Cricetulus griseus: one gene and its partners. The protein of the gene in region 1 interacts with the protein of each later gene in a pairwise test. Links are inferred from orthologs where the notes say so. Each region holds a gene or a part of one and is shown in the gene's direction. Other genes may lie near its edges. The genes, in order: Cbx5, Incenp, Prr14 and Suv39h1.

What was found.
Region 2: the proteins of Cbx5 (region 1) and Incenp interact in binary tests that used the Homo sapiens proteins (3 or more experiments, as listed by UniProt). The link is inferred for Cricetulus griseus from reciprocal best matches to the Homo sapiens genes CBX5 and INCENP.
Region 3: the proteins of Cbx5 (region 1) and Prr14 interact in binary tests that used the Homo sapiens proteins (3 or more experiments, as listed by UniProt). The two-hybrid records come from large-scale screens. The link is inferred for Cricetulus griseus from reciprocal best matches to the Homo sapiens genes CBX5 and PRR14.
Region 4: the proteins of Cbx5 (region 1) and Suv39h1 interact in binary tests that used the Homo sapiens proteins (3 or more experiments, as listed by UniProt). The link is inferred for Cricetulus griseus from reciprocal best matches to the Homo sapiens genes CBX5 and SUV39H1.

What each region holds. Positions count from the first base shown.
Region 1 is NC_048595.1:399,580,189-399,587,997, reverse strand, and holds part of Cbx5 (chromobox protein homolog 5), read left to right. Parts: intron 1-4,062; coding exon 4,063-4,249; intron 4,250-7,809. UniProt on the Homo sapiens protein: Component of heterochromatin that recognizes and binds histone H3 tails methylated at 'Lys-9' (H3K9me), leading to epigenetic repression. In contrast, it is excluded from chromatin when 'Tyr-41' of histone H3 is phosphorylated (H3Y41ph).
Region 2 is NC_048596.1:50,572,553-50,580,361, forward strand, and holds part of Incenp (inner centromere protein), read left to right. Parts: intron 1-998; exon of another isoform or gene 999-1,729; intron 1,730-2,804; exon of another isoform or gene 2,805-2,844; intron 2,845-3,986; coding exon 3,987-4,038; intron 4,039-5,111; coding exon 5,112-5,169; intron 5,170-5,288; coding exon 5,289-5,406; intron 5,407-6,363; coding exon 6,364-6,415; intron 6,416-6,822; coding exon 6,823-6,937; intron 6,938-7,008; coding exon 7,009-7,143; intron 7,144-7,567; coding exon 7,568-7,579; intron 7,580-7,809. UniProt on the Homo sapiens protein: Component of the chromosomal passenger complex (CPC), a complex that acts as a key regulator of mitosis.
Region 3 is NC_048596.1:73,282,856-73,290,058, reverse strand, and holds the end of Prr14 (proline-rich protein 14), read left to right. Parts: coding exon 1-68; exon of another isoform or gene 69-143; intron 144-332; coding exon 333-404; intron 405-514; coding exon 515-683; intron 684-1,334; coding exon 1,335-1,456; intron 1,457-1,527; coding exon 1,528-1,717; intron 1,718-2,622; coding exon 2,623-2,666; intron 2,667-2,762; coding exon 2,763-2,968; intron 2,969-3,320; coding exon 3,321-3,906; intron 3,907-4,041; coding exon 4,042-4,111; intron 4,112-4,187; coding exon 4,188-4,279; intron 4,280-4,374; coding exon of another isoform or gene 4,375-4,429; exon of another isoform or gene 4,430-4,549; intron 4,550-4,555; coding exon 4,556-4,627; intron 4,628-4,716; coding exon 4,717-4,993; 3' UTR 4,994-5,097; downstream 5,098-7,203. UniProt on the Homo sapiens protein: Functions in tethering peripheral heterochromatin to the nuclear lamina during interphase, possibly through the interaction with heterochromatin protein CBX5/HP1 alpha. Might play a role in reattaching heterochromatin to the nuclear lamina at mitotic exit.
Region 4 is NC_048604.1:114,537,869-114,546,253, reverse strand, and holds the start of Suv39h1 (histone-lysine N-methyltransferase SUV39H1), read left to right. Parts: upstream 1-3,870; 5' UTR 3,871-4,044; coding exon 4,045-4,066; intron 4,067-5,435; exon of another isoform or gene 5,436-6,428; coding exon 6,429-6,589; intron 6,590-6,679; exon of another isoform or gene 6,680-6,828; intron 6,829-7,788; coding exon 7,789-8,385. UniProt on the Homo sapiens protein: Histone methyltransferase that specifically trimethylates 'Lys-9' of histone H3 using monomethylated H3 'Lys-9' as substrate. Also weakly methylates histone H1 (in vitro).

The sequences.
Region 1 (7,809 bases):
AGTCCCTCTTCTGGAGCTGCCATCAGCCACACACAACACTTGTCTTCTAGGTTCAGGTCAGCTCTGATCCTCATCTGCCATTGTTCTTGCATCTCCAATATATCCTTGGGTTGCCACAGCAACTGAGGCTGTACCTTCACCTTCATAGATGGCTTCTCTTGCCCCTGTCTCTTGGTACCAAGCCTCAGCCACTCTTCAGGAGAGATCTATGGTGCCTTTAAAAATCAGAACAGTGTGGGAGACTTACATATTTCCAAGTTCTGCCAGTTTGATGTGCAGCCTTGGACCCCTGCTCACTGTATGTTCCCCAGAAGGCTGACCAGCAGAAGGTTTCACTTCCACAGATCTTTTTGTTTTGTTTCTAAGACAGGGTTTCTCTGTGTAGCCCTGTCTGTCCTGGAACTCAGAGATCTACCTGCCTCTGCCTCCCAAGTGCTCAGATTAAAGGTGTGGGCCACCACCACCCAGCCACTTCCATAGATTTTTAATCTAAAATGTCACCCAAACAGCCCCAATAGTGTTTTTGTTTCCCTCAGAAACGTCACAAGTCTGCACTGCCCAGACATAAAACCCTAGATTTAATTTCAACAACTTCCTTCAAGCTCACTACAGATCATAGATGCTACCTTTGTGGTTTATTGACCTTTTTTTTTTTTTTAATTCTGTGATTCATTACAGGTTATAGGTGTATTATATATAAAAAACAACCTAGTATTTCCTGTCTAACAGAAGAACTATGCCTCTGGATAAGGAATGGGATGATAATTTTTTTCTTTGTAGGTTCATTTCTTGCTTTAATTCCACAAGACTGTTGTAGTTTTAACTTTCTAGAACCCATGCTATGAGTACAAAATACAGAGGACAACTTTGAGACTATCAGATTGAAACAGACATTTTGGTTCATTCATGTAATCTATGTATTTGGAAGGCTGAGGTAAGAGAATTGCCAAGAGTTAAAGACCATTATGGGCTACATAGTAAGACTGTCTTTAAAATTCAGAGAGTATCTGGGTGTGGTGCTGCACACCATGAATCTTAGCACTCTGAGAGGCAGGAACAGTGGAATCTTTGAGGCCATCCTGGTCAGCCAGAGACCCTGGATCTAAATAAATAAATAAATAAAATAGAAACCCACAAAGAAGGCTGGGAATATGTCTTAGAGGAATGCTTGCATAAGATACACAGAACACTGGGTTGGGCCCCCAGTACCACATAAAGGAGGGAAAGATAAGTCTGAGGATGAGAAGTTCAAAGTTATCCTTGACTGCATAGAGGGTTTGAGGCCAGCCTGGGTTACATGTGTGCTGATATTATTATTATTATTTATGATGTATTAAAGCTTGTCTGAGGGTTCAGAAAGAAAGCAAAGCTGCCCACAAGCCATAGAGGTCAGACAGTGGTGATAAACACTTTTAATCCCAGGACTCAGGAGACAGATTTATCTCTCTGAGTTCAAGGCCACCCTTGGCCTACACAAGAGTGAAGAGTAACAGAGCTCACGCCTTTGATCCCAGCACTTGGGATCACACACCTTTAATCCCAGCAGTAGGGAGGTGGAGACAGGAGTGATATGGCTGGGTAGAGAAAGGAATATAAGGAAGAGGAGACAGCAATTGAGAGCATTTGCCTCTGAGGATTTCAGCCTGAGGTAGAGGTAAGAACTAGGCTAGTGGCTGCCTGCTTTGCTTCTCTGATCTTCAGCTTGAAGCTTGAACCCCAATATCTGGCTCTGAGTCTTTTATTATTCATGTTACATACATGAGACCTTTGCCCCCAAAAAACTTATTTTCTACATTATAGTGCTTCCTGTTTTGTGCATTCATATTATTTCAGTTTTGTTGTTGTTGTTTTGTTTTGTTTTTTGAGACAGGGTATCTCTTGTATAGCTCTGGCTGTCATGGAACTTGCTGTGTAGACCAGGCTGGGCTTGAACTCACAACAGAGATCCCTTGTCTCTGAGTGTTGGAATTAAAGGCAACACCCGGCCTTATTTCAGATTTTGTATGTGTATATATGGTGACAGTAGACTTGAGTCTGTCACATTTGAATAACACATTCCAGCTCCTACTTACTGGAGTTTACAAATAACATCTAATACAATAGAAGTTAGAGGTATGTGACTTATTAAGTTACCCTTTTTTATAGGCAGCTGATTGTATATATAAGGTCACACTCTTGGCAATTAAGGATTTAAAGTTGGGCTTTTTTGTTTGGGAAAATCTGCAAGGGATTGAACCCGTGGAGCCTGGCTTATGACTAAACAAGCATGCTTACCACTGAGCTATATGCCTAACTTGTAGACTGGGCTTGTTTTTGTTGTTTTTAAGGATTTTTTTTTTTAATTGTCTGTGTGTATCTGCCTGTCTGTCTGTGTGGGGTCTGTGAATACTATTATGTACGTGTCTGTAAAGGGCAGAAGGCATTGGATTCCCTAGACCTGGAGTTACAGATGTTCAGGTCTCTGTAAGAGGAATAAGCACTCTTAACCAATGAGCCATCTCTCCAGTCCAAAATTGGGAGGTTTTTTTGGGGGGGAGGAGTGGGGGTTCAAGACAGCTCAGTAGTAATAGAGCCAGTCCTGGAACTCTCTGTAAATCAGGCTGGCCTCGAACTGACAGAGACCGCCTGCCTCTGCCTCTCGAGTACTGGGATTAAAGCTGTGCACCCAATGCCCAGCCAAAACTGGGAGTTTTTAAAAGGTTTTATTACTATATAGTTTATGTACCCTAAGAGTCACTCACACCTAAGGGTGGTGGTGGTGCAAACCTTTAGTCCCAGCAATCAGTAGGCAAAGGCAGGCAGCTCTGTGAGTTTGAGGCCAACCTGGTCTACACAGTGCATTCCACTGACAGCTTCTCCCCCCCCCCCAAAAAAAAAGTTACCCACTGAAATTGTACAGGTTTTTTTTTTTTTTTTTTTTTTTTTTGGTCTGTTTGTTTGTTTGTTTTTTGTCTTTGAGACAAGGTCTTTTGTTTGGTTTTTCTGAGACAGACTTTCTCTGTGTAGCCCTGGCCTTGAACTCCTGTTTTTGTCTTTTGGTCAGTATTTCTAGATTTGTGAAACTGTTAGCACACTCCCATTTCAGAAAATTTCCTCAGTCTGATCTATTTCATGTCTCTAAAAATGTATCTTGTGAGGACATGTCAGAAAATACAAAAGAAAGCCTTTTTTTTTTTTTTTTTTTTTTCTTTAGACAGGGTTTCTCTGTATTGTTTTAGACGCTGTCCTGGAACTCAGTCTATAGACCAGGCTGGCCTTGAACTCAGGAATCTGCCTGTCTCAGCCTCCCAGGTGCTAGGATTAAAGGTGTATGCCACCAACCCCAGCATCTCTAATAGTTCTTTATTTCCCCCCTTTTTTTCTTTTCTTTTTTTTTTTTTTTTTTTTTTTTTTTTTTTGTTTTGTTTTGTTTTTCTCGAGACAGGGTTTCTCTGTAGCTTTGGAGCCTATCCTGGAACTAGCTCTTGTAGACCAGGCTGGTCTCGAACTCACAGAGATCCGCCTGCCTCTGCCTCCCGGGTGCTGGGATTAAGGCGTGCACCACCAACGCCCGGCTTCCTCCCTTTTTTCTATAATAATTCTTTACATGACTTTGTGTGAATATACTTTTTCCTAAGCTTCAGTGAAAATCTAAGATCAAATTTGTTGGATCTTTTTTTTTCTCTGTAGAGCTGGGGGTCAAACTTACGGCATTACATGTCCTAGGCAAGTACCTTACCACAAAACTATACTTCAAGCCTCTTGCTAAGTCTAGGTGGTTTTGTTGTTGTTGTTTTTGAGACAGGGTTTCTCTGTAACTTTGGAGCCTGTCCTGGAACTCACTCTGTAGACCAGGCTAGGCTTTAACTCACAGAGATTCTCCTGCCTCTCTTAAGTCTTTATAGAATTCCTTTCCTTTGCTTATATGTTCTCTTTAAAGTAAGCATTGACACTGAAAAGGCTGTGGATGTAGTTTGCTAGAACTTGTCAGTCTTAAGTTCTGCAGAGATGGTAAATGGATAAAAATAGGGTGTTACCGCCATTCCTCAGTCTTTCCCTTTTGTCTTTATTGTTATTGTTCAGGGAGCACAATACTTGGGAACCTGAGAAGAACTTGGATTGTCCTGAACTAATTTCTGAGTTTATGAAAAAGTATAAGAAGATGAAGGAGGGTGAAAACAACAAGCCCAGGGAGAAGTCAGAAGGAAACAAGAGGAAATCCAGTTTCTCTAATAGTGCTGATGATATAAAATCTAAAAAAAAGAGAGAGGTAAGCTTCTCCTCCCACTTACTATCCTTTTGCTACTGTCATGCAAAGGGGAGTTTGGTTATTATTTCTTGTCTAAGGACAGACAAAAGCTTCCAGGAAGTATGTTGGTTGACTACAGTGACCCCTTCTGGCCAAGGGAGAGCTCCTGTAACACAGACTCGTTAACTAAAGTGTCAAAATTGATGTGATACTGCTACCGCAAGCCCCCCCCCCCAATAGAAGTACACGTGTGTGTGTGTGTGTGTGTGTGTGTGTGTGTGTGTGTGCGCGTGCGTGCGTGCGTGCGTGCGTGCGTGCGCGCGCGCCAGAGGAAAGTATTAGGAATCAAGTTTCTGTCTTCTAGAAGAGCCGCAAGCTCTCTTAGCCACTGAACCAATTCTAGCACCAATAGGAAGACTCTTAAAACTTTTTCTTTTTAAGGAAAAGTAGCTAAGGAGGTGGCTCAGGAATAGAGGGGCCTATTCCAAGCCTGACAACCTCCCGTATTGTGGAAGGAGAAAACCACCTGCTGAAAGGTTGGCCTCTGACCTCCATGTGAACCTGTCTACTTGAACACACCAAGAGTAATAAAGAACATTTATTACTTTATTAAAAAGACAAAACTTAACTGGGCAGTGGTGCCTCATGCCTTTAATCCCAACCCTTGGGAGACAGACAGAGAACCAAAACAAGCAAACAAAAGATGAAATTAATTTTCATCTTTTGTGTCTATCTGTTCATTGTTTAGTTTGGCAATTAATTATGAATTTTGGTTCAGTTGCTTTTATCTTTCTGATTCTTAGATTGAAGATATTAACATAAATACCATATTGCCTTTTTTTTTCTTCTGTATCTTTACTATGTGCATGTTACACAAATACGCTCTGCCCCTCCAACTTTGCCTCTTTCCATTTTATTTCAAGGTTTGAAGAATATATCATACACTTAAAATCTAATAAAATAGTTTATATAGCCTATATCCTTACATCAATTCCCTGTTTGTCTGCATTATGCTTGGATGCCCATTTTTCTACATTGTTACTCTTAACTTTGACTACACCTTAGACCATCCAGTATCCAAGATGAACCTTTTGAGAGTATCTATGGGTAGACTAAGGCATTGGGGTTTTATTTGTGTATCATTCTTGGCCTATGTTCCTGTTGGGTATCACTACTTCTGTAATATATGATAAAGGCTCTCAAGCAGTCTGAATATCTTGATAAACTATACTGATTAAGAATTTAAGGAGCCAGGTGTTGGTGGCTCACGCCTTTAATCCCAGCACTCAGCACTGGGAGGCAGAGGCAGGTGGCTCCAAAGCAATACAGAGAAACCCTGTCTTGGGAAAGAAAGAAAAAAAAAAACAAACATTTTTCTGAGGAAATAGGACCAGGCTGTTCTCGAACTCACAGAGATCCGCCTGCGCCTGCGCCTGCGCCTGCCTCTGCCTCCTGAGTGCTGGGATCAAAAGTGTGTGCCACTACTGCCCCCGACTGCCTTTTTTTTTTTTTTTTGGTTTTTCGAGACAGGGTTTTTCTGTGGCTTTGGAGGCTGTCCTGGAATTAGCTCTTGTAGTCCAGGCTGGTCTCGAACGCACAGAGATCCGCCTGCCTCTGCCTCCCGAGTGCTGGGATTAAAGGCGTGGGCCACCAACGCCCGGCTATTTACATATTTTGATACATCTTATTTTGCATTCGTGTGAGCATGTATGCTGTTGCACATGTGTGGAGGGTAGAGAACAACTTGGAAAAGTCAGTTGTCTTCTTTCACCAGGTTGGTCTTGGGGATTGAATTATGTACTTTAGGCTTGGAGCATGTACCTTTACTAACTAAGCCAGTCCCTCCCTCCCTCCCAGTCTGGCTTTTGTCAAGTTGAAATAGCAAAATAACACAACCAAAGACTTGACTATGTATTTGTGAGAGATAGTAAATTTCTCCAATTTAGGGTCTTTGTTCTGTTAAAGGTTGTCTTGGAGTCCTTGGTTACTACTTCAGAGGCCTTCGTGTCTAGGTTCTGGAGCTGCTGACCTTGAAAACAACCTCCACCCACCCTTTACATCATCATGTTTGTCTGGCATTCTTAGCAATACTGGAAGCTGTCAGGTACACAGCTGGCAGGATAGGTAGTAGTGGTATGTTTTCGAGGTATGGGAGAGATTACATTTCTTTAGATCACTTTAGAAGAAATTTCTTGGTCGGTTTTATGCCTGATTTAAGATTACTGCCTATGATTTTAGTGTTTTCCTTACCTCGGCTCCTTTTAGCAGCTTGAACAATCTTTTTCCATTTTCCTCCTTCTGTAGCAGACTGTTTCCAGCCGCCAGCGATGATGTATGACTTAGTCCCTGTGCCAGCATTCCAGCTGTGAGCATCTGTGTTTGCATCTGGGAACCTATTCCCCTTAAATGCCCTAAAGAGTCTGTGTCTTAAAAAGCCAGTATCTTCCCATTGATCCATGGCTGGAATTTCTTTCCTATTGTGGGTTCTGTTATCTTTGGGGACCACCAGGACTGTGCAAGCTTTTGTGTTTCTATTTTAAAATTTTCATTTATTCATTTATGTATTTGTTCATTGTATTGGGCATCATGCACTAGTGTAGGTCAAGGAACTGGTGGGAGTTGGTACTCTCCATCTATCATGTGAGTCTCAGAGATTAAAACCAGGTTGTCAAACTTGCCTGCAAGCCCCTTTCCCCAATGAGTCACCTCACTGGCCTGCTTTTGTGTCTCAAAGGAAAGTAAGATGATCAGAGAAATGTTAGGAAGATCACACATCTGAGATTTGGTTCATTTGGGAAATCTTAAGTATAAAGTTAGATTTTTTTGTTGTTGTTCTGACCAGTGCCATTACACCCAAATCAGCCTCTGTGTGTAGATCACGTGATTATACAAGAACAAGTTCGGAACTTTTTTTTTTTAAGATTTGTTTTTACTTTATATGCAATGGTGTTTGCCTGCATGCATGTCTGTCTGTGTAAGAGTGCCAGATTCCCTAGAACTGATGTTAAAGACAGTTGTGAACTGTCATGTGGTTGCTGGGTATTGAACCTAGGTCCTCTAGAAGAGCCATCTCTCAGCTGGGTGGTGGTGGTGCATGCCTTTAATCCCAGCACTTGGGAGGCAGAGGCAGGCGGATCTCTGTGAGTTAGAGGCCAGCCTGGTCTACAGAGCGAGTGCCAGGACAAAAAAAAAAAAAAGGCCATCTCTTCAGCCCCATCTAGTGCTCTTCTCATGAGTTATCAGTTCAGTTGCTTAAAAGTCTCAGTCCGGGTCCAGTTAATGCTAATAGTGTGCCTGTGTTGCAAGGGGGTGAGCAGACCAGGGGCTCCTCTCCCCAGTATATGCAAACTAGTGTTTGTGATCTTTGAAATTTGCCCTTTTTAGAGTATTGGTCTTATATCCCATTCTTGCCTCTGTTTTTTACAATGTAGATGACTGTGTGAAATATTAACTTGGGCACATCTGAAAGGTTATGGTTGAAAAAGCATATCTGAAGTTAAGAGAAGGGTCTTGCTTGTACGGTGTCGGGAGCAAGAGTAGAGGGGTCAGCTTACAGTTACTGAAGATATCCTAAGGGATAG
Region 2 (7,809 bases), on another chromosome or scaffold:
ATTTCTTCAGCCCTGAAATTGGTCCAGGGGAGGGTCCACAGGGCTAGATGAGCCTGGAGCTATGAGAAGGGTAGGAGGAATTGGGGAGAATCTCATACACCCCCTCCTTTTTTTTTTTTTTTTTTTTTTTTTTTGAGGCAGGGTTTCTCTGTAGCTCTGGTGGTCCTGGAACTCGCTCTGTAGATGAGGCTGTCTTTGAACTCAGAGGTCCTTCTCCTAAGTGCTGGGATTAAAGGTGTGTGCCACCATGCCCAGCTTTCTCTTAATTAAGGCCCCTGTTTTGTTTTCTTTTCCTCCATCTCCCTGTTCAAATCATGTTTACCCTGCTATTCGTTTCTCTACACCCCCCACCCCACCCCACCAGCCCCTTTTTGCCTTCCTAGTTCCTGCAGTTACTCCAGGTTACCTCACTCAGTACAATCTTTTCTGGTTCAATCTGTGTATCTGCAGATTTCATGATTTCGGTTTTTCTAGTGGAATAGTGTATATCAACCCACTTTTTTTTTTTTTGCAGATTTTTTTATTTGAATTAGAAACAAAATTGTTTTACATAACAATCCCAGTTCCCTCTCCTTCCCCTCCTCCCCTAGTCCTCCCCATCTCCAAACTAAAACCCTACCTATCACATATGCTTTCTGCTCCCCCTGGATGGTGAGGTCTTCCATAGGGTGTCATCAGAGTCTATCCTATCCTTTGGGAGTACCTAGGCCCACCCCTGTGTGTCTTGGCTCAGGGAGTATTCCTCTATGTGGAATGGGCTCCCAAAGTTCACATCTATGCTAGGGATAAGTACTGAACTACTACAGGAGGTCCCATAGATTTCCGAGGTTTCCTCACTGAAACCCATGTTCCTGGGGTCTGAATCAGTCCCATGCTGGTATCCCCGCTATCAGTCTGGGAACCAAGAGCTCTCTGATGTTCAGGTCAGCTGTTTCTGTGGGTTTCACCAGCCTGGTCTGGACCCCTTTGCTCTTTTCATCCTTCTCTGCAACTGGATTCTAGTTCAATTCAGTGATTAGTTGTAACCCACCACTTTTATAGACATTGTGGAGGGGCAGTTGCAAAGGCTTGTCAGTTGGACTAGTTGGTGGTAGGATACAATTTAAAGCTTCCAGCTGTGTGTTCCCAAAGACACTGCCATCTTTATGGGGACTTTTTAATTCCTTGAATGAAGGCATATTATCACCCGGCCCCAGCATGTTGTTAGCATTCCAACCAGAAAGATATAAATGCTACCTTGTCAGGGTTGTAACCAACTTTCTTAATGATGTACTGACTTCCTTAATATCCTCATAGTTCTTCTTGCTGTAGGGTGACTTGTTGGAATCCATTTTGTTGGTACCAGCAATCAGCTGTTTCACACCCAGAATGTAAGTCAAAAGGGCATCTTCACAGGTCTGCCCATTCTTGGGGATACCAGCTTGAGATTTAGCAGCACTGGCAGCAACAATCAGGACCGCACAGCCATCCTGAGATATGTCTGCACTGATGTTTTTGATCAGATCTCTGTGTCCTGGGTCTTTAATGATAGTCACATGTTTACTGGTAAAATTTCCACAGGGAGATGTCAGTAGTGATACCATGCTCCCACTTCTAGTTTCTCCAAGACCCAGGCGTACTTGAAAGAGCTGCTTCCTATCTCAGTAGCCTCCTTTTCAAACTTGTCAGTGGTTTGTCTGTCAGTTCCACCACATTCGTAGGTGGCCAGTGGCGGTGGACTTGTCTGAATCTACACATGCAGTGGTGACTGACACTGTTGGTTCGAGTCTTTTCCTTTCCTGTTTTTGCTTCAAATTAGTGACGGTTTTCCTAACAGTGGACCAGCATTGTCTGTTGCTCTTCTCCTTAAGCCTTCCCTGCCCATGGATGGGCTTCTGGGCTATGTGTGAGCAAGCCTGTCTAATCCTAAGCCTAGCAATCCTATTCCTTCTTGAGATAGAGGAAGTGACTCCAGAATGTGGAGTCACTCAGCCCCCAGGTGACCTTGGGTATACCTTCTCTTTTAAGCTCAGTTGCCTGTCAGAAATGGTAATAACATTTGCCTTGAGTGGAGTTGGAGAACTCATCTTAGTGCTTGGGTATGGTATATGTTCAGTAATTCATTTAGACAAGTTAACCTGGGGCTGTGTTACTGAAACTTGAGGGGTGAGAAAAGGCAAGGCAAAGGCTTCCTGATGCTTTTCTGATGCCAGGTTCTGAGGTGGGGCTGGGTGGGCAATTCAGATAGCATGTCCTTTGGGTTTTCCTTAAGGTAGCTTTGACACACCTGCAGCAGGGGAGTAGGAAGGAGAAGGGGACTGGCGGTAAAGGATGGTTCAGGGGCCTCAGGATTCTAGTGGTGGAGCACAGAGGACTGAAGCCTTTTGTCCTCCTGATCTGGTGTGCACTCCCCAGGAGGAAGCTTTTTGTCATTAGTGGGCAGGCAGGGACAAGGGTCACTGCTTCGCAGTTTCTAGAAAGTCCAGCTGTGTAGGTAGTCAGCTTTATCCTTCAGGCCTCATGGCCATTTTTTTAATTGGAGGGTAGCTCCTCCTCAGTCTTCAGTCTTTAGGCCAGGCCACTTTCTTGACACTAGACCAGTTCTGGCATGCAGGGGCTGCCTAACATTCCAGGAAGTCTTTGTGCTATGGAATAGTTAGGTGTTCACTTGGGTGTCTTCTGGCTTTTTTTTTACCTCATCCCTCCTCCAATCAAGGAGCTTGGAGTTACCAGAGAGAGAGAGAGGCAAGGGCAGAGGAGGGGAACATATCTTCTGGCCATGGACCCCCCTCAAGGTAGCACCTATAGCTAGCTGCCAGTCTTACTTTGTTGCTGCTCCCTCCTGGCCCCTAGCCTGGATCCCATAGCCCAGAAAGGAGAAACTCCTGCTTCTTGTCACTGCTCAGTTCTCTCTGAGCTCTGCCAATTGTTGCTCCAGCTTGTTACCTTCTTCTCTTCCTTGTTTTTCTTTGGCCCAGGGCAGCCCTGGTTCCTTGTCTGCTTAGTTCTGGCCTTCTTCCCTGACCCAGGAAGGAGATGGACTTTTTCTAGGCCCCCAAGCCCCTTCTTTCACTTTGTGGTTTTGGTTAAGTGTCTTCCCATCTCACTCTGTAGTCCAGCGAGGCTTAGAATTTACTATAAAGCTCAGGCTGACTTTGAACTTGTGACAATCCCTCTGTCCCAGCATCCTGAGCGCTGGGATTAAAGGTGTGAACCGTCGTACGTATAATTAATACTTTTCCAAGGACTTCCCTCATTGAAACTGGGCATTGTTTTACTGGGTGTGATAGGATGATAGGGTTTGGTGCTGAATGAAGCCTTGATGGGTACTAAGCTTCAGCATTTTCTCCTTGGCTCTGTTGCTGTTTGGGCTAATGTTAATATAGTAAGAAGGAAAAGTCACACTTTACAGTGGTGAAACTAGTTAAGACCTTTGCATATCCAAAAGGGTCTCAAGTATTTCCAGCAGTTGGAGAACACACTTTGAAAAACAGCATCTTCCTCTTCCTCCTCCTCCCCTTTGGCTTCATTTCAGGTCTCCCTATCTAGGCTTCAGCATCCTTGACTTGATGGCTGCTCGTACCCTAGTTTACTGTATAAGATCACCTGATGCTGGTAGGAAGACCGGGCAGTGGCCTTAGTTTTCCTTATCATTGCTTTGAGCCTCTAGCACCCGACTTAGAACCCAATACATAGCAGGTACTTGGAATATTTGTTGTGTGAGTAAGCTGCTTATGTTGGGGCCCAGTGTTACTCAGACATCCATCTTTCCAAGCTACTGCTAGCCTAGTGAAGAGGTGGAGGTGTGCCTGCTAGACAAGTGGCATAAAGCTAACAGCTGCATTGGGCGTGTGAAGATGAATGAGGGTGAGATCAGGGCACAGAGAGGCCTGTGTGTGTCTATGAAAGGAGTAGTGATTATGCCCTTGTCAAAACTTCCTGGATCTCTTGGTCTGGTTGCTGACTGGTTTCCAATAGCATCCCCCCCTCCCCCAATTTCTCTTCAGGTCACAGTTACCTGGAGAGACTCCTGAATGTCGAAGTGCCTCAGAAAGTTGGGTAAGTTCCATGCCAGTGTCTCCCACAGGGGTGGTCAGGGCACATGGGGGTGGAGGTTGGACTCTCCACAGCACTCCTGATAGCCATGCTCCCTTAGCCTGGTTCCTGTGTAACCAGGCAGCAAGCAACATGACTGTCAGGTCTCTAGACAACATTCCATCTGTATCACTTGTCAGCTCTAGCTCATGAGTTCCATGGCTGTAAATGAGGCATAACAACCATTTAAAGTGGGGTGATTTGGGATTCAGGGGTGCTTCCTGTCTGGATTAGACCTAGCATTACTTAGGGCCAGGACACTGACTTCTCAGAGGTCTTACTCTGCTATCCTAAACTAGCCCTTCCTTACTTTGGGGCAGAGGTTCAGTGCTTGGGATGAGGAAGTGGGGTCTGGGAAAACCTTTGGCTTAGCTGCTTCCCCAACCCCCCAGTAGTGAGCAGGTTTCAAAAGAGATGGGATTTTTCTGGACCCCATAGATTAAGACTGACCTGGGTAAAGTACTTGTGTGCCACTGTATTACTGGAACAATGACTAAGATATTCAGCTTACAAAGGAAAATGGTTTATCTTAGCTCACAGTTGTAGAGCCTTCCATTAGTGACCAGTCTGCTCTGCCGCTTTGGAGGAATGGTACATCATGACAAGAGTGTGGTAGAACAAAACTATTCTACCTCATGGCTGGAACTTGATAGGAGAAGGGGGGCTGTGGTTCCATACTCACCTTCTTGGGCATACCCCTAATAAGCCAAAGTTCTCCAGCTAGGTCCACCTGTTGAAGTTTCCACTGCATCCTACTAGCTGTATTCTGGGAACAAAGCCTTGAATACATAAGTCTTTGGGGACACTGAAGCTCCAGACCAGATCAGGTTCCCATCCCAAATGAGATCCTTGACAGGATGATACCAAAAAAATTCAGAAACTGACATCACTCTCTACTCAGGAAGCCACTAGTAATGGCTGCTGTCTTCCTATCCAGCCTAGACTGTTGGTTTGTGGTCCAGGTCTGGTCACCTAACATTGACCCTAACTTGAGGAAATTAACTAAAAGTTCTCATAGTGCTGTGCTTTGCTTTCAGTCTGGAGCAGGAGCCCATTGAGGAGGCTGAATCTGAGGAGGCAGCAGAGGAGACAGAGGTAAGACCACAGGCCAGAAATGGGTAGGACTCGAGCCCTCCAGGTCTGAAGCTATGTGCTGCAGCTATCCTGAGCTCAGGATCCATGTGGGCTTCTTCAAGCCTTGGTTTTTCCTGTAGGTCTCCAAGAACAGTGGCTGTACCTCAAAGCGCCACAGTGCCACCAAGATTGTGATTAGTACGCCTACCTTGAAGCCTGTGGCCAGTGGCCAGGCAGCATCCATTGAAGAGCAGCAAGGTGAGTTGGCCTGGCCCTGTCTCTTGGGATACAGAGCCCCATTTTCTGGTCTGTAGGCCAAAGATAAATTAAGCCTGAAGAGGTTATGACCTTCTGGCTAAAGCTGCTGCTGACTATCCCATGAGTAACTATAGATGGCTGGTTAGGAAGCATAGAGGGAAGGGCGTGAATGAGGCAAAGGTTTGAAGGTGCCCACTCCAAGGGATTCATGAAGAAATACAGGCTGGGCTCTGAATGCCTACCTAGCTTCTTGCTCCCGCTTCTAGTTGAAAAAGGGCCGGGTTACTGTGGGCTTTCGCAGTTGGTCAGGAGCCCTGCCTGGCTTCCCAGGCTACTAGTAGGCTCTTGGAGTCTGGCTCCTGTTTCTCTGTGGAGGTGGATTTCTCTAGTGTAAAGAAATGGCAGCTGTAAGGTTTGAGCAAAGCATCCTGTTTATGAAGGGGCCAAGGATAGTTGTGCCAGCCTGAAAGCTCCCAGGACTGCTACAAGACCCTTTGGAGTTAAAGGGCACTTCCTCTTGGTGTGAAATAGAATGTCCTATGCCCTGTATGATGTCCCCATGAAAGGAACCTTTTTCTCCTGTCATGGAGGTACCAACTGCAGGCTAAGAGAGGTGTGTTTGATTGTGGTAGAGTTTACAGCTTGTTATAAGGTTTCTGCACATAGCTTTTTGTGATAGAGGGAGTGGCATGTAGATTGGTGATATTGTCCTGTCATTTGTGTCACTGTTGACAAGGGTTTGGGCTGGAGGACCTGACTTGGGGGCCAGTATACTGGGCTCAAGGCTAGTTACTGCTTAGATTGGTGTTTCTGCCATTGGCCACCCTAGGGTTACCATGCTCCCTGGGTTACCTTGCTCCTGCTGTAACTGTTGCTGCTGTACCCCTTCCCTAAAAGTTGCATGTATACTCCACTGGCATCATCCATACAACCTCTCTGAAATTGCTCTCTTCACAGAAGCCAAGCCTGACCAAACAGATGGACACAGAAAAGCACCTCAGAGTGTCAGGTGTGCACCTGGGAAGGGGTGTGCAGGCAGCTCTGTTCTGAGGGTTCCAGAGGGGTTTGAACCAAGCTGGGGTCCTTTTGTAGGGAGGGTAGGTATGTGGCCAGGCATTCTGCTTCTTGGTTGGTGTCATGACTCGATCCTCTGACTAAACAAAGGAAGCAGCATGGTGCTGTAGATGCTGGTTTGGGAATGGGTAATCATGTCCCTCCTCATCCTTCTGGCTCTGTGACCTTTGACTGGCCAGTGACATTTTTCTGGGCAGCAAAGGGCTGGTCTGCAGTCTCTTCCAGTCTGGAGTTCTGTGGCTTGAGGCCAGACTTGTTTGCAAAGGGTGATTTTTATAGGATGTAATAGGGCTATGAGGTGGGTTCTTGGGTCCTCTTCATGATGTGTCCTGTCCTGGGCAGAAGGAAACGCAGCTACAAGCAGGCAATGAGTGAACCGGATGAGGAGCAGCCAGAGGATGAGGAGCTTCAACCCCCCCAGAACAAGACCCCTTCCCCACCCTGTCCAGCCAACAAGGTAAGCAGGTTCTTGTCCTTGCTTGGTGTGTGCCCTGCCTGCTCTTTGCTGACCCTGGCCCTGGTCTGCAGGTGGTACGACCCCTCCGGACTTTCTTGCACACAGTGCAGAAGAACCAGATGCTCATGACCCCTACTTTGGCTTCCCGTAGCAGTGTCATGAAGTCCTTCATTAAACGTAACACTCCCCTCCGTGTGGACCCTAAGGTAAGGGAGCCTGTCCCCTGGCTGTGCTTCGCTGGAGCTGGGACAGTGTGGTTGAAGACTCTTAGTTTGCTGGAAGTAGTGTGGGCCAGTTAAAACCTCTGTAGCCAGGGATTGCTTCAATACTGTGGTGCTGTGCTGACCTTATGGACCCAGGACTGTGACTCAGAAACTTGGTGAGCTCTAGGCTGGAAAGTGGGAGGATTGACTTAGCAGACCTAACACTGGCCATCATGTCACAGACCAGTGGTGGGAGGAGCAGGTGAAGACACCTTTGTTGTTGGGAGGGAGGACTGGGTGAGGTGAGGTAGCAGTGTGTTTGGTGAAAAGCCCTGAGCACACTCACTGCCACAGATAGGTGCATAGCCTGCCCTGTAGGACACCCCTTGGCATTAACTCTTGGTGTTTTTCTGTTTCCTCTCCACAGTGCAGCTTTGTTGTAAGTAAAGCCTTTTCCTGTCCCTTAACAGAGCTGCACTAGTTCTTGGCTAGATCCATGTCACTGTGTAGCTGACAGCCCCCGTGGAAGCACTAACCGCAAGCGGGAGTGTTAGGAAGGCAGATGTGCATGTGGGGGCACTGGAGTGAGTCACCAGGATAGCTGGTGAGAGCCAACTGTTCCGGGACTCTGCATCCTCCCACTGTAGAGATAGCCCTCTGCCCTTACCC
Region 3 (7,203 bases), on another chromosome or scaffold:
GAGGAATCTAGAGGAAACGGAGCCTCCCAGGACCGGGATCCCAGCGGATCCCTGAGAAGCTCAGGGAGGTATCTACAGGGACAAAAGTCCCAGGAGGCTCGATCCGTGGGAGAGCTGTGACCTCCGCGATCCAGTCTCGGCAGGTGCCAGGCAGGGCCCGAGTGATCAAGGCGGCTGCCACGGGAGGACCCGGCTCCGAACGGGCAGCTGGGGGCGCCCTTTCGAGGAAGGGCCTGTGGCCTACGGGGAGCCGCAGGCTGAACATGAAGGGCGGAGTCCCCGGAGAGGAGCTGGCCCTCACTCCCCACTCCCCTGTTCCCCCTTTACCCCAGGCCGCAGCCTGGGATCCCCCAGGGACTCCCCGGAACCATCGCTTTCCCCATGGACTTGCCTGGGGATTCCAGGTGAGAGCGCACCCCGCCTGCCTGCCTGTCTTGAGCCCGGGACACCGGGATCCTGGCGGCTGTACAGAGCCAACAACCGCCTCAGACAACTGTCTTCTTTCACCCTTCAGCCCTTCTAGACAGTCAAGCCTGTGCCGTCAGCCCCTAACTCGAGCACTATGGGAAGCCAAGAGCCCGAAAAGACCGAGGCTGCAGCCCCTAGGGACCCCTTCGTCCTTGGAAAAGGCCTCTCGGCGCGTCCTGGCCGTAGTCCTGGAAGATGTCGTGGCTACAAACAGGGTGAGCCCTTTAATTGAAAGACCCCTCCCCTTTCCCTACACCCCCCACCCCACCACCCGGCTCAGTACTAAAGTCAGACCAGATCTCTTAAACCAACGTTCAAAGCAGTCTCCTTAATGCAAGACTTCTGCATGGTTCTGGGGTAACTCCTATGTCTGTCCTTCCCGCACTCTCCACTGAGCTGGAACCATATTCTACTAAGTATGAGAAACTCTTTTGACTACCCTGCCCCCTGGGAAGTTTGCTGGTGGTGTCTTTGGCTACATGACAGAGATGAGGAAAATGTCACCTTTTTTCCATTTCTTCAGAACCTGGATTAGATTAGATTACTTACATTTCACACCTGTAGCTCCTGACTATAATACCTCACCCCTAATTCAGACCAAATCACTTCCTTTAGGAATCTGAGTGAATTCTAGCCAAAATCTGTCTCCTCTGTGAGTAGGGACACTGAGACACAGAAGATCCTGTCCACTTGGCCTCATTCCATTACTTTGCTCTTTGTTGTTGGTTTGTCTTACTAAGACAGGGTCTCACTTTTTAGCCCAGGCTGGCCTGGAACTCTCAATCCTTTTGTATTAGCCTTGCAAGTGCTGGGATTATAGGCATGAGCCCAGGTTGGCTTTCTTTTAACAACTCTTCCTCTCTTAGGTCCCCCTGGCATACCAAGAGGACACTGCCAGGCCAATGAATCGCAACAATCATCAGGACTCTGTCTACAGTCAGTCACCTGCGTTACCACCCCAGCAAGTCAAGTGGTCCTTCCAAGCCAGGTGAGTGTGACAGGGAAGGAAATAAGCTGAGAACACAGCTGAGCCCACTGATGCTCCTGTTCTTTCTCTAGACCTCCTGACCCACTGCATTTGTGCCGAGAACCCTTGAGCCGGACCCACCAGTCCTCTCCCACCTTGAAGATGAGATCAAGGACAGCCCCTGGCCCAGCAGAGAGCCCTTCACAAAAGATGGACCAGACCACCCAACCTACCCTGGTGGTGGTACTGGAAGACATTGCCAGCCCCAGACAACCAGCTGAGGTATAAGAAAGTATGGTGAAGATGTCTGGGTCCAGCTAAGGCAAGCATGAGGCTGGGGCGGATTTCTGTAAACGTAGGACAACAGAATTTTTTTTAATAACTTATTTATTTTTATTTTATGTACATTGATTGGTGTTTTGCCTGCGTGTATGTCTGTGTGAGGGCATTAGATCCCCTGAAGCAGTTGGGTGCTGGGAATTGAACGTGGGTCCTCTGAAAGAATAGCAGTGCCTCTTTTTTTGTTGTTGGGTTTTTTTTGTTTTGTTTTTTGGTTTTTTGAGACAGGGTTTCTCTGTGTAGCTTTGGAGCCTATCCTGGCACTCACTCTGGAGACCAGGCTGGCCTCGAACTCACAGAGATCCACCTGCCTCTGCCTCCCGAGTGCTGGAATTAAAGGCGTGCGCCACCAACGCTCGGCTATAGCAGTGCCTCTTAACCACTGAGCCATCTCTCTAGCCTGCCCCCCCTCCTTTTTTTTCTTCGAGATGGGGTTTTTCTACATAACAGCCCTGGCTGTCCTGGAACTTGTATTGTAACTAGGCTGGCCTCGAACTCAGAGAGATCCACCTGCCTCTGCCTCCTGAGCGCTGGGATTAAAGGTGTGCACTACCACCCCACCCCCACTTTTTGAGACAGGTTTCACTATGACCTATATCTTGCTATGTAGACCACGCTGACCCAATTTATAGCCTGCCTCTACCTTTCAAGTGTTGGGATAAAGGCTTGTGCCACCGCCCCAATGACAACATTTTATGTGATAGACACTACCTGAATAAAGGGTATAAGAAAAAAATCTTTTCTATACAGCCAAGTAGATATCTGGGGAATAAGTCAGGACATGGAGAGCTGGGGCAGCCAAAGATGGCTTCTTGCTTTTTCAAAACACCTCCTCTGTTTATATCCAGGGTTTTGCTGAAGATGGGCCCAACTTCATTGTTCCAGCACAAAGGTGAGAGGGCTAGGAGAAGGGATTATCAAAGCCGATTATCATCCAAATGTATAGAGCTGGGGGCATTGGGTTTACTTATCTAACCCTTCCTTATAGTACCTTCAGAAGCCTTAAGGGCCAGGGGAAGCACTGGCCAAAGAGGGATCTGGATTTGGAAGCACCACCAACTCTTACTTTGTCCTTTCACGCCAGAGCTGAGCCTATGACAAAAGTTCATCAGCCAGTGCCTACACCCAGAGAACTAGAACCTCCATTCCAACCGTCCACTCTGCCTGCTGACCCTCCAGAGAGCCCACTACCAGGTAAGGACTTGAATGAAGGAATGAGACTCAAAAGTCTCCAGGAGCCAACATGAGCCTGAAACATCAGGGGCAGAACTATGGGTGGGGCTTCACCCTGACCCAGGGCAGATCAGGGTGTACAAAATGTGATTTGGGGCTCAGGAACTTGAGAAGGTCTTATTTTGCTTTGCAATACTGGGGATCAAATCCAGGGCTTAGACGTGTTAGGCAATCCTAATTACAGAACTTTAGGAGCACAGTTACTCCTCTAGAGAGAAGTTAGTGTTTGGGGGAAGAGACTGAGGCTTGTGAGGTGGTGCTTAAATCACCTGGGGGTGAGGAATGCCCGCCTGTGACCCTCTCCTTTCCTCAGCCCCAGATCCTGTTCTGGAGGTCCCATTGACCCCAACACCGTCCAGCCTTTTACGCCCCCGTCTCAGTCCCTGGGGCTTGGCCCCTCTCTTCCGTTCCGTCCGATCCAAGCTTGAGAGCTTCGCTGACATCTTCCTCACGCCTAACAAAGCACCACAGCCTCCACCCCCATCACCTCCCATGAAATTGGAGTTGAAGATTGCTATCTCAGAGGCTGAGCAGTCCAGGGCTACTGAGAGAATTGCATCTGTCAGCCCCCGGCCCCCTATCCGCCAGTGGCGGACTCAGGACAATTCCCTAGCACCTGTCTCTAAGTTATCTCTGGGCCGAAGCTACTCCTGCCCTGATCTGGGGCCCCCTGGCCCAGGTAGCTGTACCTGGCCTCCTGTTCCATCCCAGCCAAGCCAGTCCAGGCCCCGGAGACATACTGTGGGTTGTGGGGAGATGGCCCGGACCCCACCACCTCCTCGGCCCTGTCTCCGGAAAGAGGTCTTCCCTCTTGGAGGTGTGGGAGCCTCACCTTCTCTCACTACATCTTGCTCATCCACTGCATCCACTTCCTTCTTCTGCGAACCAGCAGAACACAGGTAGTGCTCTCAATAAACCCTTCTGGAAGCCTTGGCCACAGCCTGAGCCTGGCCTCCTTTGCTCAGTAACCAGTGACAGAAGACGGGTGTATTGCTGTGTATTTCCTTGTCCCTGACTGTTGACCATCTCTGCAGATTGGGTTCAACCAAGGGGAAGGAGTTAAAAGCCTCAAAGGACAAGGTGTTTTCTGACCCAGAGACCAAGGTAATGAGCAAAGAGACAGGAGTCAGCTGAGGCCTGAGCCCATGCCTTTCTTTCACCCTCTGCCCCATTTTTGCAGACCATGGGAAAAGTTTCTAGATTCAGAATACGGAGGACTCCTGTCCGTCTACAGCCAAACCTTACACCAATGGGGCTGCCTCGACCAATCAGGTGAGAGGCTCAGAGAGCAGGGGAACCTGCCTTGACCAATTAGGTGATAACTCCTATCCCTGAAGGAGTTACCTTGTCTCCTTGTCTCCTCTCAGAGATTGTTGTCCAGCCTGGAAAATTAAGTTTAGCATCGACGTGGCTTGTGCTTAGAACTTCCTCAGATGTCACTTCCAACTCTTGCATGGCCCAGAAACTGAAATTCAGTCAGACTTTACATATACCTTCTCAGGACCTCCTTGCTCAAGGTTTCTCAGTGCCCTCTGCTTTTTGCTTTAGATTGAACAAGAAGGAGTTCACTTTGGAAGAAATTTATACCAATAAGAATTACCAATCACCCACAACTAGAAGGTGAGAAACTTGGAAGGTCTGAGGGCAATAGAGGGCTGTTTGAACCATGGAACATGCTGGTAAACACCTCTTCTCCCTGCCTGGCCCAGGACCTTTGAGACCATCTTTGAGGAACCACGGGAGCGCAATGGGACTCTGATTTTTACCAGCTCTAGGAAACTCCGACGGGCTGTAGAATTTCGGGACAGTAGCATGCCTCGATCCCGTCGACCATCACGAGGGGTCCGCACTGCAGCCAGCAGGACCCTTACTCCCAACTTGGCACCCAGCCAGGATGTGGGACCTCTGCTGCAAGAACGGCTGAAGGAACTAGATGCCTTGCTCCTGGAGGAGGAGATAGATAGGGAACACCCCTGTCAACTCTAGGAGCTCCAACTGTTCATTCATACATCCTTCAGGGAGGGGGAGAATCTCTGGATCAACTGTATTTTTTTCTCTATATTTCTATAAAGTTTTCAATATGTTTGTGATTCCTTTGTCTTCAGCAGAGTTTGAGATCAACTAGTTATACTAGCTGATGTTTCTGTTCGTCACCAAAGGAGTAGAAAAAGGGGACAGTACAAGAGAAGAAAAAAAGGGTTGCAGCAGACAAGGGGTCGGAGAGTGGCCATTAGAGATTCCAACTGCACTCTCAACCCCTGGCAGTGCTAGGGGATCAAACCTAGACTCCTGTACACACTACCTCTCTCAAACTCTTTTATGGGGTGATATTTATGAAGGAAAAAAACAAACAAAAAATGCCAATACAAGACTGAATTACATCATAGAAATTAAAAGGCTTTGGAATAGACTAAGGCCTTGATCAAGATGGTCTTGAATTCTTCCCAGATGCTGTAATCACCCACCTAGGACAACCTATCATAGATACTTGGCTGGTACAAGCCCTATTAGGGAATTTATCAACAAGCAAACAAAGTGAGTTTGTCGAGAAAATATCCATGTTATAGTAACAGCTAGGGCCAATGAACCAGCTAGCTGATAAAAAATTCTTGGCACATAAGCCTTGTTACCAGAACCCCAACACCCACAAAAAAAGCTGAAAGGGAGAAGACAACACAAAGTTGTCCTCGGGCCTCAGCATGCATGTCCCCTATATACGTCATGTCCATACCCCACACAATAATGATATATTTAACATTTAAACACAAACAGATCAGTCACATAAAGGCTTCGGACTGTGGCCAGAGCCCTCACTCTGGAGCTAGAATCCTGGCTGTTGGAATATAGACGCCCTTAATAGAACAAATGGCAAATATTTACCTCGAACTTAATACCAAGTGAATTAGTGTGAAAGAGTACTCCGCACACGAGTGCAAGGTGTTTTTTATTGAGCGCTGGAAGGGAAGACCATCCCTCGAACCCCGCAGAAACAGAAGCTCGGTCTCCACCCCACCGCGGACCCTCGCCCAGCGAGCCTCTGTGCGCCGAGGCGCCGCAGTAGAGCGATCCGCCCAAAGGCCGACAGGAGGCGCTGCCGCCACGCGCCTGCGCGAAATGCCAACAGGCAGAAAGGCAGAAGACCCTACCCGTCAGAGAAGCGCACCTTGGACTGCCAGCCCAACGCCTCCCAGAGGCCGGCGGCCCTCCCACTCCAGGCACCACCTCCCGGCGCCTCGCCTCGTCGCCGTCAGGAGGCGGCCAATGAACGGAGAGCAGGAAGAGGCGGTGGCCTAAGGGGCCGCTCCAAACACATACTTCGGACCAGTCGAGTCACAAGACTTGGGGAGGGCGGGGCTAATCTGACGACCCAATCCAAGATGTGAGGGCGGTTACATCCGGCACTCCCGCGACTTTGACTCCGCCCTTCGCATTGACGTCTACTCACCAACCTATAAACGCCTGAGCCACGGAGGGAGGGGGGAGGAGGCGGAGAGTGGGAGGAGGCGGAGAGAGGAAGGAGGCGTTGGCTGAGGAGGAAGAGGGAGGAGGGGCAGGGAAGTTCTGGCGAAGGAGAGGCCGAAGACTCCGAAGAAGACAACAGGCGGTTACAGTGGAGTTCTTCGCTGCCCAGCGGCCTTTCTGGATCCTTCTAGACACAAGTCAGTCAGGGACGGAGGAAAGGAGGAAGAGTCTTTTATGTCGGAGGACAGGGAAAGAAGCTCCATCCGTCACCGTTGCCTCACATCCGGGGCTTTGGAAGACAGGCTCCGCCCCCTTGCACCTTTCAAGGCTACCGGAGGCGTAGACTTCTTTAAATCTCCTTAAAGGGGTGGGCACCGAACTCGGCCGACTCCAACTCCAGCCTTAAAGGGGAAACCTGCCGAAGCTGACAAACACAACTCCTGTTGGAAGAACTGGGGCAAGAGGAGTTTTCCTACCTCCTGTCCCACGCCAGAAGTTCTTTAAATTCGTCTTAAAGGGGAAGTGGCAGCTTGCGGAGGACTAGAAACTTAACTGCGATTTCTTAAAAGGGACGGCCTGCTGTTTGAAAGCCTCTGGACTCTTTAAAGGGGTGGCCTCTTTCAGCCGGAGGACTTAAGACACTTTTAAAGGGGAGGTCGCGCTTTCCGCCCCTTTTAAAGGGGTGGCCCTTCCTCTTCCTCTGGGAGACTTGCCTCGACCCCTGGCACGGGGCC
Region 4 (8,385 bases), on another chromosome or scaffold:
CTGGATGTCTCAGCTGGTCTCCATTATCTGCTGGAACCTTGAAGAAGTAGGCTTTAATGCCAGTGAAGGAGCCAGGCGTTGGTGGCCCACACCTTCAATCACAGCACTCGGGAGGCAGAGGCAGGTGGATCTCTGTGAGTTTGAGGCCAGCCTGGTCTACAGAGTGAGTACCAGGACAACCACCAAAGCAATACAGAGAAACCCTGTCTCAAAAAAAAAACAAAAAAGAAAACAAAAATGCCAGTGAAGGAATGGACTTGCCACTGAGTGTGAGGGCAAGCAGGTAGAGAGAGGAAGCTTCCTTCTTGCATGTATTTGTATCGGTTGTCAGCGGAAGATGTGTCCCAGATTTAAGGTGGATCTTCCCACCTCAAGAAATCTGGATTAAGCCAGGTGGTGGTGGCACATGCCTTTAGTCCCAGCACTCAGGAGGCAGAGACATTCAGATCTCTGTGAGTTCGAGACCAGTCTGGTCTACAAGAGCTAGATCCAGGACAGCCTCCAAAACTACAGTGAAACCCTGTCTAAAAAAACCCTATAAAAAATCTTGATTAAAAGTGGGCCTTCCCACTTCAAATAATTTAATTAAGAAAAATCTCTGCCTTTAATCCCAGCACTTGGGAAGCAGGGGCACTTGGATCTCTATGAGTTTGAGGCCAGTCTGGTCTAGAGTGAGTTCCAGGACGGCCAAGGCTACACAGAGAAACCCTGTCTCAAACCTACCCCACCCCCCAAATAAAATTCCTAATTTTGGAGGTCATGAAGGCAAACAATTTATTAGTCTCCCACTGGATTTGCTGTAGATAAATCCTCTGAATAGAGCTGCTTAATCGCTTAACTTGTCCCCTGGCAAAAGTTTCTTTGTGCTCCCTGCCTTATTCCGTATCTTAAATCTCAAGGTTAAGCAACTTCCTGACATAAAGAAACGAGTCAGCAAACTTGCTAATCAGTAACTTTTCTCTAGATTTACGGACTCGGGAACATCCAGTGTCCTTCAGACAACAGCTTACGTTTTCAGAAAAGCACTGTGGAATTTATGACCATCCCAGCCCTCCTCAAACTAGAGAGATAATTTCCTTAAATCCCCTGGTTGCCTTATATCTGTAGAACCTAAACAAGATGGTGTTTGTTGATGATGGTCTCCTATCTTCTTTTGCTTGCTGACTTTCCAAAGAAAGATTTTCCTTTGGTCCCAGTCTGTCCTTGAGTCACTGGCCTTTTTCAGGGATGAGGAAATGAATGTGGGAGCTCTAACAACAGAGCTAACCTTGGCCATTTCAGGCTGACTGATGAAGTCTGTAGTTTCCTGCTAGGCAGCTATTTCTGGTGGCTGGTTGTCTACCTTGGCTGAATCACATGATACTGAGGGTTCTGACCGATCACCCACAGGTAGTCTGGTTAGTGGGATGCTGAGTGAGACTCATTACCTGGTTGTCTGACAACATGATGAGAAGAAGGATGAATAAGTCACAGGGCAGCCGATTAAGAGCTGTCAATGAAGCGCCCCGACTCCTTGGATGTATATAGTTGCAGACTGTCCATCCCGATAGAATCCAAGTTTCTCTAAAGGACCCAACACATCAGAAGATATTGACTCATTGACTCTTAGTGGGAACGAGAAATGGTAGATTCATTCATTATAGAAAACCAGCTTGACATGACCACAGCCATTTTAGTCATAACCTCAGGTGGTGAGGCATATGACCTCAGCACTTTCTAAACCTATAGGATGAACAAAGCCATTAAGATAAGTCAGATGAACATTTCATGCTAACTACTGATGGACAAAATGTTCTGAATGGATATTTAATGAAATAGGTTTAGAAAAATAACTGATGGGCCACGTTCAACTTTGTGTACCATATAAAATCCTTTCTCCTGCTGATAGTTTCTCCTGTTTTGCTGACACTAGAGAAACAATTAAGTCTGCAAGTCTGTAATAAATTGCACTTTGTGAAATCTGGATTTTTCTGATTCTTCTGGTAAATGTACATGTTCCCGTGGACTGCGTACATATGCATACAAATATGTAGGCTAGTGGTCTTTGTTGGGCATCTTCCTTGATTGCTATCCACTTTATTTTTGTTTTTTGTTTTTTGTTTCTCTAGAGACAGGGGTCTCTCTGTATAACAGCCCTAGAAATCCTGGAACTAACTCTGGAGACCAGACTGGCCTTGAACTCATAGAGATCTGCCTGCCTCTGCCTTCCGAGTGCTGGAATTAATGGCATAAGCCACCACCACCCATGCACTTTATTTTTATTTTTTTATTTTTTTGGTTTTGTGAGACAGGGTTTCTCTGTGGCTTTGGAGGCTGTCCTGGAACTAACTCTTGTAGACCAGGCTGGTCTCGAACTCACAGATCCGCCTGCCTCTGCCTCCCAAATGCTGGGATTAAAGGCTTGTGCCACCAACGCCCGGCTCATGCACTTTATTTTTATATTTATTACATTTTTTGGTGCCTGTATGTGTGTGTACATGCACATTTGTAGGGCAAAGGTCAATGTTGAGCATCTTCTTTGACTGCTGTCCCTCCCATACTGCTGTTACACACTTGGTGCTGCCTCTGGTTTTTTACATGGGTGCTGAGGCTCTGAATTCAAGCTCTTCTGTTTACATGGCAGACACTTTACTGAGCCATCTATCTCCCCAGCTCCACGCCCAATTCTTTCTTAGGTCTGTCAGCATCTTCTGCCTTTAGCAGCCAGTTCTCACACATGGAGTTTTCCCCTTAAACCAGAGAATCCACTGACAGGTGACCCCCCCCCAAGGTTTCATCACACCCCTCCCTATAGTGAGGGTCTACCTAGTTGCTGTGGCCACTGATCACGGTGTAAATGGGGAGTAACAAAGTGAACCACCATAACCACGTGGCAGTGTGACTGTCCAGAGAGCTTTTGGGAGCTGACAATGATTTGTCCTGACCTGATCCCAGGCTACCTCGGGACATAGGTGGACATTGTAGCTTCCTTCAGGGATAATGTCAGCTGGTGCCATGTTGACTGCAGTTGGAGGAAAGGGCTGACTGGCTGACAATGTGATGGGGACAGTTTGAGGAAATGGTAGGCTGTATAACAGCACATAAGATGTACTTCAGTGGACTCAGAGGGCTGGAGGACACAGATGGATGCTACTATTGACTAATGCACAATGCGAATGCACAGGCAAGGGATCTGAATGGACGTGTGACTGCGGCGACTGACTTATTATTTATTTGAATCAGGTGACCGACTGTGCACCTATATATAGCGCTAGGTCCATCCTGGAAGTGAATGCCTGCTTGAGGTTAAAATATAATGACGGACATAATTGGAGTCTGACAAAACAGTCCCTTTATGAATGGCTCGCGATGTGATTGGCTAGCAATGTGACGGACGGGGCAGGGCCTTGAGCAACTTCAACCACTTCTACTGCCCAGACGCACTCTGGGAAAGAGCAGCGAGCAGCAGGCTTGGAGACCCGCTCCTGGGGACGGGAGGGGTTCGGTCACGGCTCACCGGTTGGTCCGCGCGGGGGCTGCGGGCGTTGAGCGACGACCAATAGGCTGCGCGTCCCCGACCACGCCCGCGCGCGCTCTCTTCTCGCGAGGCCTGCTAGGCCCGAATGTCGTTAGCTGTGGAGAAAGATGGCGGAAAATTTAAAAGGTGAAGCTGTGGTGGCTGAGGCGCAGGCTACTGGCCCGGTGGAATAGAATGGAGGGAAGGTGTCCAGGGCTCCGGGCTAGGCGTCCGGAGCCACGAAGCCTGGAGCTAGAGAGCCGGCGCGGAAAAGATGGGGCTGAAGAGCGCGGGCCGGCGCGCGGGCTGGGCGGGGCTGAGGGGAGGGGGCGCGTGCTTCGGCCGCGGGGGGCGCGGGGCTGCGCAGGCTGCGCGCAGGGGTTCTCGGTCGCGCGCTGACGGCCGGCGCGTTCACGCGCGCGAGAGAGTCCTGAGGAGAAGGTTGCGACCACACGCGGGAAAAGCGGCTCCTGGTGACCATTACCCTTTCGCTTTTCACGGGAGACGCCGGAAGGGGAGGAAAAAGGGGAACGGACCCTCTTCTCAAAATGGGGGAACCGGCGGCTCTAGGTGGGAAGGATATAGGCGTGAGGGGGCAAGGTTTAGGGGAGAAGATTCTCCTCAGAAGAGAGAATGGGGGCCTCGGTAATAGGAGGGCTGGACTCCTCCATGTGCAGGAAAAGAGGGGTGACTGTGTGTTGGGCAGGCTCCTCGGCAGTGAGTGGAGCTGTGAGAATAGATTCCACAAGTGTGAGCCGGAGCTCCGAGGGCTACGGCAGCTGTGCTTAGTGCGCAGCCAGATGCTGGAAATTTTATTTGGGGCCACTTCCGAGGGTTTTCAAATGCAGGTTGAAGGCTTTGGGAAAGCAAAGGCCTCGGAGGAGGAGGCTTAGTTTCGCTGGGCCTTGGCTAAAGGATGGGTGTACACGCAATGATTTTGAAAAGTGCCTGTATGTTTTTAGGTGAACAATCTAGAGTATTTATTTCATTCGGATTGTTTTAGGTTTGAGTTGTATAACGGGGCAGAAAATATTCAGCATTTTTAAAAAAACGGCATTGGATAGCGACAGCATACAGTTAGCATCAGGTGTTTTGTGACATGATGTGATTTTTTAAAAAACGGCTTTGAAAGCACATAATGGGTGTGCTTTGAAGGAAAAATGTATTTTAAGTCCGTTTGTCTTGAACAGTTTTAGAGACCCTCGTGATAGTGTCACTGACTTACCACATGTACTGTTTACATGTTCCTGAATTGAACGCAGAACCCTTTGCATTGAGTTGTACTTTTCACGGAAACATGGGATAAGACAAATGATAATGCAGTCTGGAAAAGTAGACCTTGGGTGTATAAAATAGCCCAGACTAAGTCAAGGAAGCTCTCAGTAATGTTCCATCTTTGGGGGGGGGGGCGCGGTTCCGAGACAGGGTTACTCTGTGGCTTTGGACGCTGTCCTGGCACTCACTCTTGTAGACCAGGCTGATCTCGAACTCACAGAGATCCACCTGCCTCTACATCCGGAGTGCTGGAATTAAAGGCGTGCACCACCACCGCCCCGCTTGTATCTTTTTTTGTTTGTTTTTCCGAGACTGGGTCTCTTTGTGTTGACTTGGCTGACCTCGAACTCAGAGATCTGAGATATGCCTGCCCCTGCCTCCCAAGGGCTGGTTCTAAAGGCATTTACTGCTACACCCAGCTTAATTTAACACCTTTACACAATCTTTATAATTTCAAAATATAAAAAGCCCTAAAAATAGTTTTTCTTAAATCATGGCAAAAGGAAATCTTTTTTGTTGTTTGTTCAAGACAGGTTTTCTCTCTTTTTTTGAGGGGGGATTGAGACAGGGTTTTTCTGTGGCTTTGGAGGCTGTCCTGGAACTCTGTAGACCAGGCTGGTCTCAAACTCGGAGATCCTCCAATCTCTGCCTCCCAAATGCTGGGATTAAAGGCGTGTGCCACCAAAGGTTTTCTCTTTTTGGGTTTGGCTATCCTGGAACTTGCTCTATAGACCAGGTTGGCCTGGAACTCAGATCTGCTGCTTTTCTCTGCCTCCTGAGTGCTGGCAGCTCCACCAACCGGCACAAAGGGAGATCTTCAAAGTGGGATTGATATTCACTGAGGATATTTAACGTAGAAAATTCAGGCTTTTGCTGTAGATATGTGTGCTGTTAATGTGTTTGATTATGGATGGCTTGATGTCCCAGACTTTGCTGTTAATGTGTCTAAAAATTACATTTTTTTTTTTGGTTTTTCGAGATAGGGTTTTTCTTTAGCCTTTTGGAACCTGTTCTGGAACTTGCCCTGTAGATCAAGCTGGCCTCAAACTCACAGAGATCCACCTGTCTCTGTCTCCGGAGTGCTGGGATTAAAGACGTGCACCCCCGCCGCCGGGTCTAAAATTACATTTTTTAAAAATCCCCATTTTTTTAAAATTCCGAAATACACAGGAGTTTCAGCTAAGTGATTGAAGACCAGGCTTCAGAGTTAACACCTCTGTTTGGTACCCTGGGGATTTTCATCCTCCCCCCACACACCTTTAGGGCATGCACCCTATGGAGCTAGGAAGCTGTTGTCTTTCTTTTGCAAAGTGGATAGAGAGGTGATTAGGTCTTGAACTTGAAGCAAGTCTGCAGGCAGTTTAAGTTCTGGGAGTGTTTAGATCCCTTTACATGCAGTCCATGCCACAAGATCCATTTACAGCCTTGCTGTTCCAGGGTTAGGGGGCAGGCTTTGGATTAGAAGATTGGATGGGTCCTCTCTCATAGGAGAACTGGACTCTTTGGTGTCAGGGAAAGAAGGGTGTGGTGACTGCATTGTGGGCAGGCTCCTCTCCAGGAGTTTCCCTGGGTATTAGGCTTCAAGGAATTGACATGGTCCTGTTGTAGAGGGTCTTAGCTTTGGTTAAGGCCTGATTAAATTTTGTGTGATTCCTAGGCCTTCTCATTCCAGGCTGCAGAGTATGTTGCAAATCATCCTGGAATCAGCTTCAGGATCTGTGCCGACTGGCCAAGCTTTCTTGTCCCGCCCTTGGCGTTTCTAAGAAGAATCTTTATGACTTTGAAGTCGAGTACCTGTGTGATTATAAGAAGATCCGTGTAAGTCTGGTGGGGATGTGTGAGACTGCCCTGGCAGGGGACCCTCTTCCCCACCCAACCCCCACATCTCTTTACAAAGAGGATTTTCACCTGGGGTAAAATGGGATGAATTGACTGTCTTATTTCCATTTTACAGGCAAGGAAATCAAGTAGCTTTCTCAGAAATATAGGCAGAATGAATCCTCAAAGAATGTCTTTTCCACTTGTACTTGCGGGATACAAAGATTGAGATTCTGAACCTAGGAGTGAAAGTAAAGATGACAATACTTAGTATGCACACTAGAAACTTTTTAAACTCTGATAATGCAAGATGATACAGTAACTGTTAACTGCCAGAAAAGGTTATGCGGTATTAGAGCCCACTGAAAGCAACTTGGTTAGTTGAAATGTAGTCTTCATTTTCCCTGTCTGTAAAATGGGGAGGACTGGAGTTGTAAGAATTCTAGGGTGTGTCAGTTGCTCAGGAAAATACCTGCTACATAGCGAGTGCTACAAAAAAATATTAACTGTTTTTCCTTTTCTCTTTTTCTTTATTTTTAGACAGGGTTTTGCTATGTTGTAAAGACTGTTCCTAAACGCAGAATCCTTCTGCCTCAGTTTACTGATGGCATTATAGATATGTGTATATTTTATGTATATAATCCTCCTCCCACTTATATATTTTCTTCTTTACAGATGAGGTAACAGACATGGCATGCTTTATTTGCCTAAGGCAACATAGCCAGGAAGCTACAGATTGCCATTTTAAACTCTGTCCTATGGCTGACTCCCAGCAATTAAAGCTCCCCCTCCCCTGGCACTGTGCAGAAAACTGAAACAGTGAGGGTAAAAACAGGGGGATCAGTAGAGGCACCTACCAGAGGACTGACTGGCTGCAGTGGCAATGTTTTAATGCAGTAAAGGGGTCAGATTCTGAGTGTATTTATTGGGGAGTGTGAGCAAAAGAGGAACCAAGAATAACTACAGGGTTTTGGGCCTGAACAGATCATTGGAATATAGAGGAGGAAGTGGTCTTGGGGGGTTGAAAAGTAGGAATTTCAACAGATAATAAGAGGGTGAGTGGAAGTTGGATTTAGTAATTTTTACTCCAGAGGCACTGCATGGAACCATTCTAGAGTAGTGTGGGGTGGGGTGAATGTTCTCTGTTGCCACAAGGGTCTCAAATTTATGGTACCCTTCTGTCCCTGTCCTCTTAACAGGAGCAAGAGTACTACCTGGTTAAGTGGCGTGGATATCCCGACTCAGAAAACACTTGGGAGCCACGGCAGAATCTCAAGTGTGTGCGCATTCTCAAGCAGTTCCACAAGGACTTAGAAAGAGAGCTTCTCCGGCGGCACCGCCGGTCAAAGCCACCCAGGCATCTGGACCCAAACTTAGCTAACTACCTGGTGCAGAAGGCCAAGCAGAGGCGGGCACTGCAGCGCTGGGAGCAAGAGCTCAATGCCAAGCGCAGCCACCTGGGACGCATCACTGTGGAGAATGAGGTAGACCTGGATGGCCCTCCACGGTCCTTTGTCTATATCAATGAGTATCGTGTTGGTGAGGGCATCACCCTCAACCAGGTGGCTGTTGGCTGTGAGTGCCAGGACTGTCTGTTGGCACCCACTGGAGGCTGTTGCCCTGGAGCATCCCTGCACAAGTTTGCCTACAATGACCAAGGCCAAGTGCGGCTGAAAGCTGGTCAGCCCATCTACGAGTGTAACTCCCGATGTTGCTGTGGCTATGATTGCCCTAACCGTGTAGTCCAGAAAGGCATCCGCTACGACCTCTGCATCTTCCGTACTAATGATGGGCGA